Linked DNA regions of Caenorhabditis elegans. The protein of the gene in region 1 interacts with the protein of each later gene in a biochemical or structural test. Each region holds a gene or a part of one and is shown in the gene's direction. Other genes may lie near its edges. The genes, in order: emr-1, baf-1 and lmn-1.

Region 1 (3,314 bases):
TCTTTTCTTTGTTTGCTAGGTGGAAAATATTCGAGCACGGGGTTCTAGCCTTCTTCATTGAATTTTCGCGCTCCATTGACAATCGTGTCTGCCGGATAAAGTCGTGTACTCCACACGGATAAATAAATTCAGTTTTACAACTAGAATTGAGCCGCGACACGCAACGCGCCGTAAATCTACTCCAGATATGGGCGAGCTAAAATGGCCCAAACTCTTCCAGGGAAGCCAGAACTCCGTGTTCGAGAAAAGCACTTATGGTAGCCACGGGTTACCGATTCGGTGTCCCATGGACACTTAGAGTTGCTCATGGCGAATTACTAAAAAATTGTTTAAAAATATCTAAAATTTTCAAATAAAAGGGACCTCTATTTCAGATACGGAAAACATTCGGTTCGTGTTCGCCGCCGTCAAAGACACAATTCTACAGCATAATCTGAAGGAGTACAACTTGGTGTAAGAAGAAAGTCGCATGTCGGATTGGATGATGATGATGATGATCCATCTCTCTCTCTCTCTCTCTCTCACTGGGTCGAGTGAGACACCACCACCTAAACCTAGGAAACATTTTCTTGTACTCCTTCTAATTTTTGTTTTTTTTTTGCAAAAAACTTTCTCTCTCTGTCTGTCTCTCTCTCCATCTCTTCCTTATTTTCTTATTTTCTCATTTTCCTCCCTAAAACAAATGCTCCTCCCGAATATTCTTTCCATATAAGCACTTTTTTCTTCTTTTTTTGGATGTGCTTTCTGATATAGCTAATGCAAAAAGAAACAAAACTTCTCTCTCTCTCTCTCTCTCTCTCTTTCTGTCCTGTCTATACTCATTTATCATCACAAAAAGTCGGTTTTCACATCCTTCCCTACCCATCAACCTAGTTTCCGGCATGCAAAAACACCACCTAGTCTCTCTGTCATTCACAAAAAAAATTTTTTTTTTTGTCTTTTTTTTTCTCACAAAAATCCCCACAACAAACCGCCGCTTCTTTCGTTTTTTTTTGTCTTGATTCAAATTTTTATTTTTTTTACCTTTCTAACAATTCTAACCACAAAAAAAACACATTTTTCGTGTTGGACATAGTTTTTTTTTCCTCCTCAACTTCAATTTCTCCCACCCACATCCACATAATTCAAATATTATAACGTTTTTTTTGAGTTTTCACCATATTTTTTTCGAAAATTATCGAATGCTTTCTCCACTCCCCTCCCCAAACTTCACCCTTACCCTAAAAATCCCGTTTTTCATATTTTTTTCCCATCAAGCTAACCTCGAAATCCTCCCCCCCACCCTATTTTTTTCCATTTTTCATCGATTTTTTTTTGTCATTTTTCCTTCTTCTTCTTCTCAACCGAAAAAAAAACCATCCCCCATCCACACACCATCCCCCCTTCTTCTTCCCCATTATTGTATCGACTTTTTGCGATAGTTTTTAATTTCATATTTATTTCTATTAACATTGATCTAATTTTATGTAAATGTTTTGTGGACAAAAAGAAATGGTTGAAACTTTATTAAAAAAACCTCGTTTTCCGTATTTTATTTATGTATGATTCGAATCATGATTCAGGAAAAAAAGCGCGCGCGAAAATCATTGATTTAAATCTGCGGGCTGGAAATTCCTCCGTAAATCGACACAAAGCGATATCGTGACGAGACCCGTCCACTCTGCGTCTCTCGCCGTCGCGTTGTCTCTCAGCCAATTTGACTTGGGTTTGAAATTATTTTTTCATAATTTTTCATTTTCTCCTGTTTTTAATCAGTTTTTTGTAGAATTTTTCATTTTTTCGGTGAAAAATCAATGAATAAACCATTTTTTAAGTAGAAAATCGCCCTTCCTCAATTTTTGCTCGAAAATTGTCATTTTTTTGCCTTTTCCAGACCATCTCACAAAAAATGGGCATTTTTAATTTTTTTGGTAAAATGTTCAATAAATAAACGATTTTCTCAAGATTTTAGGTAGAAAATCGCTCGTTTTCCTCAATTTTTGCTTGAAAATTGTCATTTTTTGCTTTTTCCAGACCATCTCACAAAAAATGGACGTCTCCCAGCTGACAGATGCCGAACTACGCGATAGCCTTAAAAGCCACGGGGTTTCTGTTGGGCCAATTGTGGCGACGACCCGCAAGCTCTACGAGAAGAAGCTTATCAAGTTATCAGACGGAAGCATTAACAGTGAGGATTTGAATTTAAATTATTTATTAATTTCTAAATAACATTTTTAAAGTTTTCGAACCTCTAATTTCCAGATCAATCAAATCTCAACGACTCTCAATTCAACGAGGATTCATTGATCATCAGCTCGTCACCGAAGAAATCACCGCCACAACGAGTTTTCCAGAACGTGTCAGCTGCAACAGCGGCAGCTACTACCTCTCCCGAATCGGACAGCGACGATTGCGAGGAGTCGATGCGATACTTGACGGAAGAGGAAATGGCCGCCGATCGGGCATCGGCTCGTCAAGCTCAGAGCAACAAAGGAGGATTCTTGGGAAGCACGGTGAGTTTTTCGCCCTTTTTCTGGCAATAAAAACTTATTTTCTATTTTCCAGATCACATTCACAATTCTCTTCGTCTTCATCGCCGTCTTCGCCTACTTCTTGATCGAGAACGCCGAGCAGTTGAAGCTCGTGGCCGAGACGAATCCGGAGGATACTATTTAAATTATTTTTTAAATTTCTATTTTTTTCTTTGACTGTTGAAATCGCTATTTTTACCCCTCTCCCTCCCCCATCACTCTTTTTCTTTAAATCCTTTCACCCCATTTTCATCACTTCATTTGGATAAACGCTATGAATCTCTCTCTCAGTTTTTACGAGCCCATCAACTCCAGAAGCTAACCAAAATGGTAGGGGGGAAAGGCGTGGTCCCCCCGGCTCCGTTGGGAAATATGACGAATCTGTAGTTTACTGATGGGGGGGGGGGTGGTATAAAAGCCCGACACCTCGACTCGGCGAAACTTATTTCAATTGCCTCCGACAAAATGCTCCGCCACCACAGCTGCGCCCTGCTCATGCTCATCCTCGTATTCGTGGAGGGTTCGTCGTTTTAATACTATTTTTAGGCCAATTTTTAGGCCAATTTTTTTTCTAAAAATTACTTCCGTTTTTTTTACAGTTTTTGCAACACAGTCGCCGACGTTTGACCGTCAGGATCGCGATTACCGGCCACTTCAGGTAGGGAACAAGACATTTTAAAAAAAGTTAAAAATATTATACACACATAAATTGCAGTTCGGCAAGCGAGATGGGTACCGTCCATTGCAGTTCGGAAAACGCGACTATCGGCCTCTCCAGTTCGGAAAGCGAAGCAGCGGCAGCTC
Region 2 (2,893 bases), on another chromosome or scaffold:
TTAAATATTTAAATATATTAATTTACAGATCACCATGTCCGACGATAAATTAGACACTCTTCCGGATCTTCAATCGGAAACGTCACATGTCACAACTCCTCACAGGGTACATTAATAGTGAAAATTAACAAGATGATGTTTTATTAAATATCAATTTCAGCAAAATGATCTTCTTCGTCAAGCGGTCACTCATGGAAGGCCACCACCAGTTCCGAGCACATCAACTTCTGGAAAGAAACGAGAAATGTCTGAACTACCGTGGTCAGATTTTTTTGATGAAAAGAAGGACGCAAACATTGATGGAGATGTTTTCAATGTGTACATAAAGGGAAATGAAGGTCCAATTTTCTATTTGCTTCACGGTGGAGGTTATTCAGGCCTCACATGGGCGTGTTTTGCGGTATGTTTTGTTCTATTCTAGTGTCAGTCATTAATGGTTCTGTTCAGAAAGAATTGGCAACTTTAATATCATGCAGAGTTGTTGCACCTGATTTAAGAGGACACGGCGACACTAAATGTTCTGATGAGCACGATCTTTCGAAAGAAACCCAAATAAAGTGAGGTTTCGCTTTGATAAGTTTTGTAACTTCTATCGACATATTGTAGAGATATTGGAGCAATCTTCAAGAACATTTTCGGCGAAGACGATTCACCAGTATGCATTGTTGGACACAGTATGGGTGGTGCATTGGCCATTCATACATTGAATGCAAAGATGATTTCTTCAAAAGTCGCTGCACTCATTGTCATTGATGTTGTCGAAGGTTCCGCTATGGAAGCACTTGGAGGAATGGTTCATTTTTTACATTCAAGGCCTTCTTCATTTCCTTCTATCGAAAAAGCCATTCACTGGTGCCTTTCTTCGGGTACAGCGAGGAATCCCACAGCTGCACGGGTCTCAATGCCGTCTCAAATTAGAGAAGTATCGGAACACGAGTACACTTGGCGAATTGATTTAACAACAACAGAACAGTACTGGAAAGGATGGTTTGAAGGATTATCCAAAGAATTTTTGGGATGTTCCGTTCCGAAGATGCTTGTTCTAGCGGGCGTTGATCGGCTGGACAGGGATCTCACAATTGGTCAAATGCAGGGAAAGTTTCAGACTTGTGTGTTACCAAAAGTTGGACATTGTGTTCAGGTAAATGTTATACTCAATTAATAATTTATATAAATTGTCTTGCAGGAAGATAGCCCACAAAATCTTGCAGATGAAGTCGGAAGATTCGCTTGCCGCCATAGAATTGCCCAACCGAAATTCTCAGCCCTTGCATCACCACCAGATCCAGCGATTCTCGAATACAGAAAACGTCATCACCAATAATTGCTCATTTTGTTTTCCAATATTTTCACAACATTTCTATACAAGTTAAGAAAAAAATATTTTATATGAAAAGATTATCGATTAAATTTCCCGTCTTTTTAGTTCTTGGGAATAATAAATGTCAGCGACATACGAATGAATCGATTATTTTAGAGGAGAGGCAGATGCCAAAAAATTACAGTCAAAAAGAAGTATTCGTGAAAGAGTGCGCAAATCGAGAGACGCAGACAGAATGCAAACGCGCTCCGCTGAACTGTGGCCGCCAAGCGTTTCGTTTAAAAGGGAGCGTTGTCTATTTTCCTATCTATTCTTGCCAGTTTTATTTTATTTCGCAACTATCTTTTTACTACGATTTTCGAAAATATTTTCAAATTCAAGAATGTAATTATTTTGTGTTTCAGAAACCATGTCGACTTCTGTTAAGCATCGTGAGTTCGTCGGAGAGCCAATGGGCGACAAAGAAGTCACATGCATCGCCGGGATCGGGCCAACATATGGCACCAAGCTCACCGATGCAGGCTTCGATAAAGTATGTAGATTTTTTTTTCTCAAATTTTCGATCAATGTTAAAATTTGAATTTCAGGCCTACGTACTGTTCGGACAGTATCTCCTTCTGAAGAAAGACGAGGATTTGTTTATCGAATGGCTGAAAGAGACGGCTGGAGTGACTGCAAATCACGCGAAGACGGCGTTCAATTGTTTGAACGAGTGGGCAGATCAGTTCATGTAAACTGCTCAATATTTCTGCTAAGCATCGATTTGATTCTCCTCTATAATCATCAATGGCCATATTTGCACTTCGAAAAACACCATTTGTTCCAGTGTAGTCGTTTTCCGCTTTGCGACTATGCCCCATTTCAAATTAATCTGTTTCTGAAATATTTCTCATACTTCCAAGTTTTCCCCCTTGTCGTGTGGTCTTGGACTACGGTTCTTGTTTTGTTTTTGACTTTAATTTTGCGATTTTTCTCCCTCCAAATAAAATATTTTCTACGATCCTGAAGAGTGTTTCTAAGTTTTTTATTACGAAAGTTGTCGTTCGAAAGTTTACTTGGAATAAAAACAATATTTTCTATTCTATGGTGATTTCCAGATGCCTCCGAAAAGGGCTGTGAAAAAGAAGGTACAGACCACAGAAAAAGCTCGCCCAACATTGGATCAGGAGATAAAATGTGAGCATTTTTACACGGGTTGGCGGCAATTCGACAATTATCGAAGTTAAAAATTAATTTTTTTTTTCAAAAAATATACTGAAAAATACATTTTCAAATGTGTGTTTCCAAAAAAGTTTCGGATTTGTTACAATATTCACACGGAATTTATTTTTTCAGTAGATGACTCAAATGAGCTTGAACCATCGATTCGAAGTGTTGTGACGAGTTTGATGTTCACTTCGGGAGACGACGAAAATCCACTTTCTGAAAATGAAGATTTCGTTGTGAATATACTGAAAAACGAGTTGGTTCTCTTTATTAACGATGTTATAGAGGTTTATGATAATAAGTAAGCAGATTTTTTTTTTCCGAAATAATTCAAACATTTACAGAATTCCAAATGTGAAGCTACAA
Region 3 (5,125 bases), 6.9 Mb from region 1:
CTTAATCAGCAATTTTATAGTGAGTGGCGAAACTCGGAAATTGTCGGCCGTCGTGGATAGCTACCCCCAACCGGACGCATGTGCGTCCGGTTCGGACGACCGGACGTCCGGTTGTACAGCCCTAATTTTATATACTCAATTGTTAATCTGCATATTACCAAGAGACATGTTTTGCCCAAGTTCCTCTCACATTTAATCGATTCTCTTGTTTTTTCATTTCAATCTTTTTAGGGATCAAATGTGTTTTAGAGATGCAGGTGTCTAGAGAAAATTGTTTTCCTACTCTTTCATTTCGTATTCTTTTCATTTCACCAAACTTCTCTCTCGCGGCTAATCTCGCCTTCATAATAGAAATTTAGCTTCTAATTTTCGTGCTATACTAATATTCTACCACATGGTCACATCAAATGAGATAAAAACTGTCAACGCGCCAAAATGACACTCTCCCATTGATTTATTGCCCTTTGTCTCTGTGCGTCGACGCTCTAGTGCTCTTTCCAGATGTTGTTTCCTTCTCTTCTCAGCCTCCTTCTCTAGAATTCATTCATTCTGTGTCAAACACCAAAGAAGAACGACATTGTCTTCTCTCACACAAGACTGCTTATGATTTCTCGCTTCCTTCATCTGGCTCTGAATATGTCTTTCAATGGTACATGTTTATTGTTAATCGCCGAGTTTCAAAATTTACACTATCCATATAAAAAAGCGGCAAAACCTCAAAATTTCAGATGTTTGACCACTTCTCTAATACTCTCATCATGCCTCTCCATTATTCGTTCTATTTAACCCTGTACTGGCATGTTGCCAAGTTGTGTATATGTATGTTGTTTACCATATGCACACGTCTTTCCTGCTTCTCTACTTCTCTAGTCATTGGGACCGTGAGCATAAAAAACGAAAGAAAAACTTGAAAATAGTGCGCGAAACGGGAGAGATCAGAGATGAAGGGGTACGCAGCGCTCACTCGCGCGACTAAAGAGAGAGCATTGGCCTGGGCCATTGCCCTTCGAAACAAGATCGAGCGTTTTTCATCGTTTTTGAACCCTCGAAACTCCTACATATCACCTCTCATGCAACTTTTTTACACTAATTTGTGTAATTTGATATCCTATCTTATAGTTTATCAGGTCATTTCTCTTTTGTAGTAGTCCGAAAGTTTTGATTGATCGAATTTCGAAATTCTCCCTAAATTTTCGAAATTTTGTTACTTTCAAATTGACGCGACATGGACGGTCAATCAAAACCAAACAAGTATGCGAGAAATTCCCTTTTCTCTCTTTTTCTCTAATCATTTCAGTCCCATCTGCCTAGTTCTATCGGCAATTTGTGGAAGTGCGCAGATGATTTTTGAAGGCGAGGTGATAACGCCCTGCTAAAGCATTCTTATTCACGAGAGTTTCAAAAAACTATTGAAACGAGGTAAATCTTAGTTGAGTATACCTTGACAATTGTAGTTCTTTGCCGAGTTGCCTAATGTTTGAATTCAACGCTACTTACTGACTATGTTTATGCTTTTGTTTACGTCACTCTCACAAATGTTCCTTATTTCTCTACTATATTTCTTTCTGTTGAAACATTTAAAAAACGAAACAACACACATCTATGTGGAATACTGCCATCTGCCGATTTTGAGGTCACTTGGCGCGCCGTAACTCGCAAATAACCTAACAGCGCCAGATTTTTCGACAAACACACGCTTTCCGAAGTGGTATACACAACGGCCGTGTCCGCATGTTTGCCACACTTCTTTTGAGACAGAAAACTTTTGTTGTATAAAAATTTTATCACAAGAAATATCAAAATGTTGAGTCACGTTCGTGTGGCGCCTATGACGTTTCCTCTCTTCTCTTACATCTCTCTTTGTCTATTTCTGAAACTAAATCCAATATAATTAACTCTTCAGAAAGCAGCGAGAAAAATGTCATCTCGTAAAGGTACTCGTAGTTCTCGTATTGTTACGCTAGAGCGCTCAGCGAATTCGTCGCTAAGCAACAATGGAGGAGGCGACGATTCATTGTGAGTTTTTATTTTGCTTCTCTAGTTCCTGCACTCATAAACGCATTTCTTGTGTTATCTAAAAAAAAACTCGATGAAATGCTTTTCAGTGGCTCAACGCTTCTAGAAACTTCACGTCTTCAAGAGAAAGATCATTTGACTTCACTCAACAGTCGTCTTGCCACTTACATCGACGTGAGTTTTAATTTGGAAAGTATTCATATTTGAAAGTACACTTTTCAGAAAGTTCGTCAATTGGAGCAAGAGAACAACAGACTCCAGGTTCAAATTCGCGACATCGAAGTTGTTGAAAAGAAAGAGAAGTCAAACTTGGCCGATCGCTTCGAGGCGGAAAAGGTACACTTTGTTTATATTCTGATCGCCAAAGGTGTTCTGTGGGAAACTGATGCGGTGGTCTTATTATTCTCGCCGCGGTAAAGTAACAATGCAAATATAAGCTCTCGTTTTGGACGAATGATAAGTGTTGGAATATAGATTATTTGTATTTTCAGGCTCGTCTCCGTCGTGCCCTCGATTCGGCTCAAGATGAGCTCGCAAAATACAGGATCGAGTATGACGCTGCAAAGGTTGAAGTAAAGAAGTTGAAGCCACAAGTCGAAAAACTTGAGAGAGAACTCGCTGGAGCTGAGGAACAAGCCCTCCATGCCCAATCTATTGCTGATCAAAGTCAAGCAAAACAGAAGACGTTGCAGGCACGCAACGATAAATTGGTGGTGGAGAATGATGTAAGAAATTTTAATTTTATCAAAAGTAAATGTTCAATTTTGTTGTTTTCAGGATCTCAAAAAGCAGAACATCACTCTTCGTGACACCGTAGAAGGACTCAAGAAAGCCGTTGAAGATGAAACTCTTCTCCGAACAGCCGCCAACAATAAAATCAAGGCTCTGGAAGAAGATCTCGCTTTTGCTCTTCAACAGCACAAGGGAGAACTTGAAGAAGTTCGTCACAAGAGACAGGTCGACATGACAACCTACGCCAAGCAGATTAATGATGAGTATCAATCTAAGCTTCAAGATCAAATCGAAGAGATGCGTGCTCAGTTCAAGAACAATTTGCATCAAAACAAAACAGCTTTCGAAGATGCCTACAAAAACAAGCTCAATGCTGCTCGTGAACGCCAAGAGGAGGCTGTATCCGAAGCAATCCATCTTCGTGCCCGTGTTCGTGACTTGGAGACATCAAGCAGTGGAAATGCTTCGCTCATCGAACGTCTTCGTTCAGAGCTCGACACTCTGAAGAGATCGTTCCAAGAGAAGCTCGACGACAAGGATGCTCGAATTGCTGAACTTAATCAAGAGATCGAGCGCATGATGAGCGAGTTCCACGATCTTCTTGATGTTAAAATCCAATTGGACGCCGAACTCAAGACCTACCAAGCTCTCCTTGAGGGTGAGGAGGAGCGTCTCAATCTTACTCAGGAGGCGCCACAAAACACTTCAGTTCATCACGTCTCGTTTTCATCCGGAGGAGCAAGCGCTCAGCGCGGAGTGAAGCGTCGTCGCGTTGTCGATGTAAATGGAGAGGACCAAGACATTGATTATCTCAACCGTCGCTCCAAACTCAACAAAGAGACTGTTGGCCCAGTTGGAATCGACGAGGTTGATGAGGAAGGAAAGTGGGTCCGTGTTGCAAACAACTCTGAAGAAGAACAATCCATCGGAGGATACAAGTTGGTGGTCAAAGCTGGAAACAAAGAAGCCTCCTTCCAATTTTCATCTCGTATGAAGCTCGCTCCACATGCTAGCGCCACCGTTTGGTCTGCGGATGCTGGTGCCGTTCACCACCCACCAGAAGTCTACGTTATGAAGAAGCAACAGGTTGGTCAATTATTTTAAAATATTTCTGTCTTACTTTCATGAATAGAAGAAACAAAAAATGTTCATTGTAATTACAATTTTCAGTGGCCAATTGGAGATAACCCATCAGCTCGTCTTGAGGATAGTGAAGGAGACACTGTTTCTTCTATCACCGTTGAATTCAGCGAATCATCGGATCCATCGGACCCAGCCGATCGTTGTTCCATCATGTAATTGAGAGTCGATATTACATCAATCCATTTGGACCTCATTTTTACATCTATCTCTTCCTAATATTCCTTCTTGTTGTGTTGTCCTCGAGAGTTACACTGATCCTCTTCTTTTTCTCTGTCCCTCCTACGTTTTAACCGTGTTCTTGTTGTTAATATACTAGAATATGGCAATAATTTTGTTTTAAGGAAATCTCGAAATTTCACTGCCCTCTTTCCAAGAACACACCTTTCCCTAAGACTAGATCCAATTTCCATTTTTTTGAATTCATTGAGCTCACCGTCAAAATGTAAAATAGCTCGTTTTTAACCATTTGCAACAAAAGCATCAATCAAACTCCCTGTCTTCCAATGATGTTTCTTCCAACTTACCGATCGGTGTCGCTCATTAAAATTTCAAAGTGTATTTCGTTTATTTAACTTCAAAAACATGAAATATTTCTTTTCTTTCTTTACAACTCGTCTATCGTCTATTTTTTTAGGTTTATTCCATACATTTCTAAGATGGTTATGACATATAATTAGGATATGCAAGTACCGATTAAGCCAACTGTTTTTCTTTTCGAATCTATTCACTATTGAGCTCAAATGAGCACATGACAGTCGGTTAAGTGAGGTCATTGCATCACACAATAATAGAGGAGAACGTATTGAATACGGTAATTGGTTCGAATTTCTTGACAAAAATAAGCCCGTTTAGTTCAAAAACTGTAAATCTAAACAAGCCTCGATTCGAAAACTCGTAAAATCTCAGAATTAATACGCCTTTTTCACACCCCTTTTGTCAAAGCGGCTGTGGAAAAGTCAAACATTTGCGATTAGTTTGCTGGCGTTGTCCAATTGTCGAAATGTAAAATGAGATGGACATTTTTATGGGAAATCATCAAAGAGAATTGTTACGGTATCTCATTCCGACATACAGTAAAACTGATAAATGAGAAATAAACTGAGGTTACTGATCGAATAGTAGGTTTGAAGCAAGAAGCTTATTTTATTTATTGAAATTTTCGAAACTAAAAATTGAGAATCTGTAGAACAAACTTGATGATTTTTAATATTTTTTGGAAATTCTGAGAGAAATG

Evidence for each region.
Region 2: the proteins of emr-1 (region 1) and baf-1 form a complex in vitro, tested with the Caenorhabditis elegans proteins (one study listed by BioGRID).
Region 3: the proteins of emr-1 (region 1) and lmn-1 form a complex in vitro, tested with the Caenorhabditis elegans proteins (one study listed by BioGRID).

The regions. Positions count from the first base shown.
Region 1 is NC_003279.8:1,840,432-1,843,745, forward strand, and holds emr-1 (Emerin homolog 1), read left to right. Parts: upstream 1-2,013; 5' UTR 2,014-2,028; coding exon 2,029-2,167; intron 2,168-2,241; coding exon 2,242-2,492; intron 2,493-2,544; coding exon 2,545-2,655; 3' UTR 2,656-2,791; downstream 2,792-3,314. Other genes in the region: egl-30 (Guanine nucleotide-binding protein subunit alpha), read left to right, coding at 375-457; nlp-12 (Neuropeptide-Like Protein), read left to right, coding at 2,976-3,030, 3,110-3,168, 3,226-3,314. UniProt on the Caenorhabditis elegans protein: Nuclear lamina-associated inner nuclear membrane protein that is involved in cell division, nuclear structure organization, maintenance of nuclear envelope integrity and nuclear envelope reformation after mitosis.
Region 2 is NC_003281.10:9,465,739-9,468,631, forward strand, and holds baf-1 (Barrier-to-autointegration factor 1), read left to right. Parts: upstream 1-1,725; 5' UTR 1,726-1,730; coding exon 1,731-1,853; intron 1,854-1,908; coding exon 1,909-2,055; 3' UTR 2,056-2,320; downstream 2,321-2,893. Other genes in the region: B0464.9 (putative protein phosphatase methylesterase 1), read left to right, coding at 35-106, 161-400, 448-557, 607-1,141, 1,187-1,324; tag-342 (transcription initiation factor TFIID subunit 13 family protein), read left to right, coding at 2,419-2,497, 2,657-2,828, 2,872-2,893. UniProt on the Caenorhabditis elegans protein: DNA-binding protein which plays an essential role in nuclear envelope formation. Required for normal chromosome segregation during mitosis. Associates with the nuclear lamina via its interaction with LEM domain containing proteins emr-1 and lem-2.
Region 3 is NC_003279.8:8,761,138-8,766,262, forward strand, and holds lmn-1 (Lamin-1), read left to right. Parts: upstream 1-1,903; 5' UTR 1,904-1,918; coding exon 1,919-2,016; intron 2,017-2,105; coding exon 2,106-2,190; intron 2,191-2,238; coding exon 2,239-2,352; intron 2,353-2,507; coding exon 2,508-2,741; intron 2,742-2,793; coding exon 2,794-3,834; intron 3,835-3,918; coding exon 3,919-4,047; 3' UTR 4,048-4,494; downstream 4,495-5,125. UniProt on the Caenorhabditis elegans protein: Major component of the nuclear lamina, a fibrous layer on the nucleoplasmic side of the inner nuclear membrane. Provides a framework for the nuclear envelope and probably also interacts with chromatin.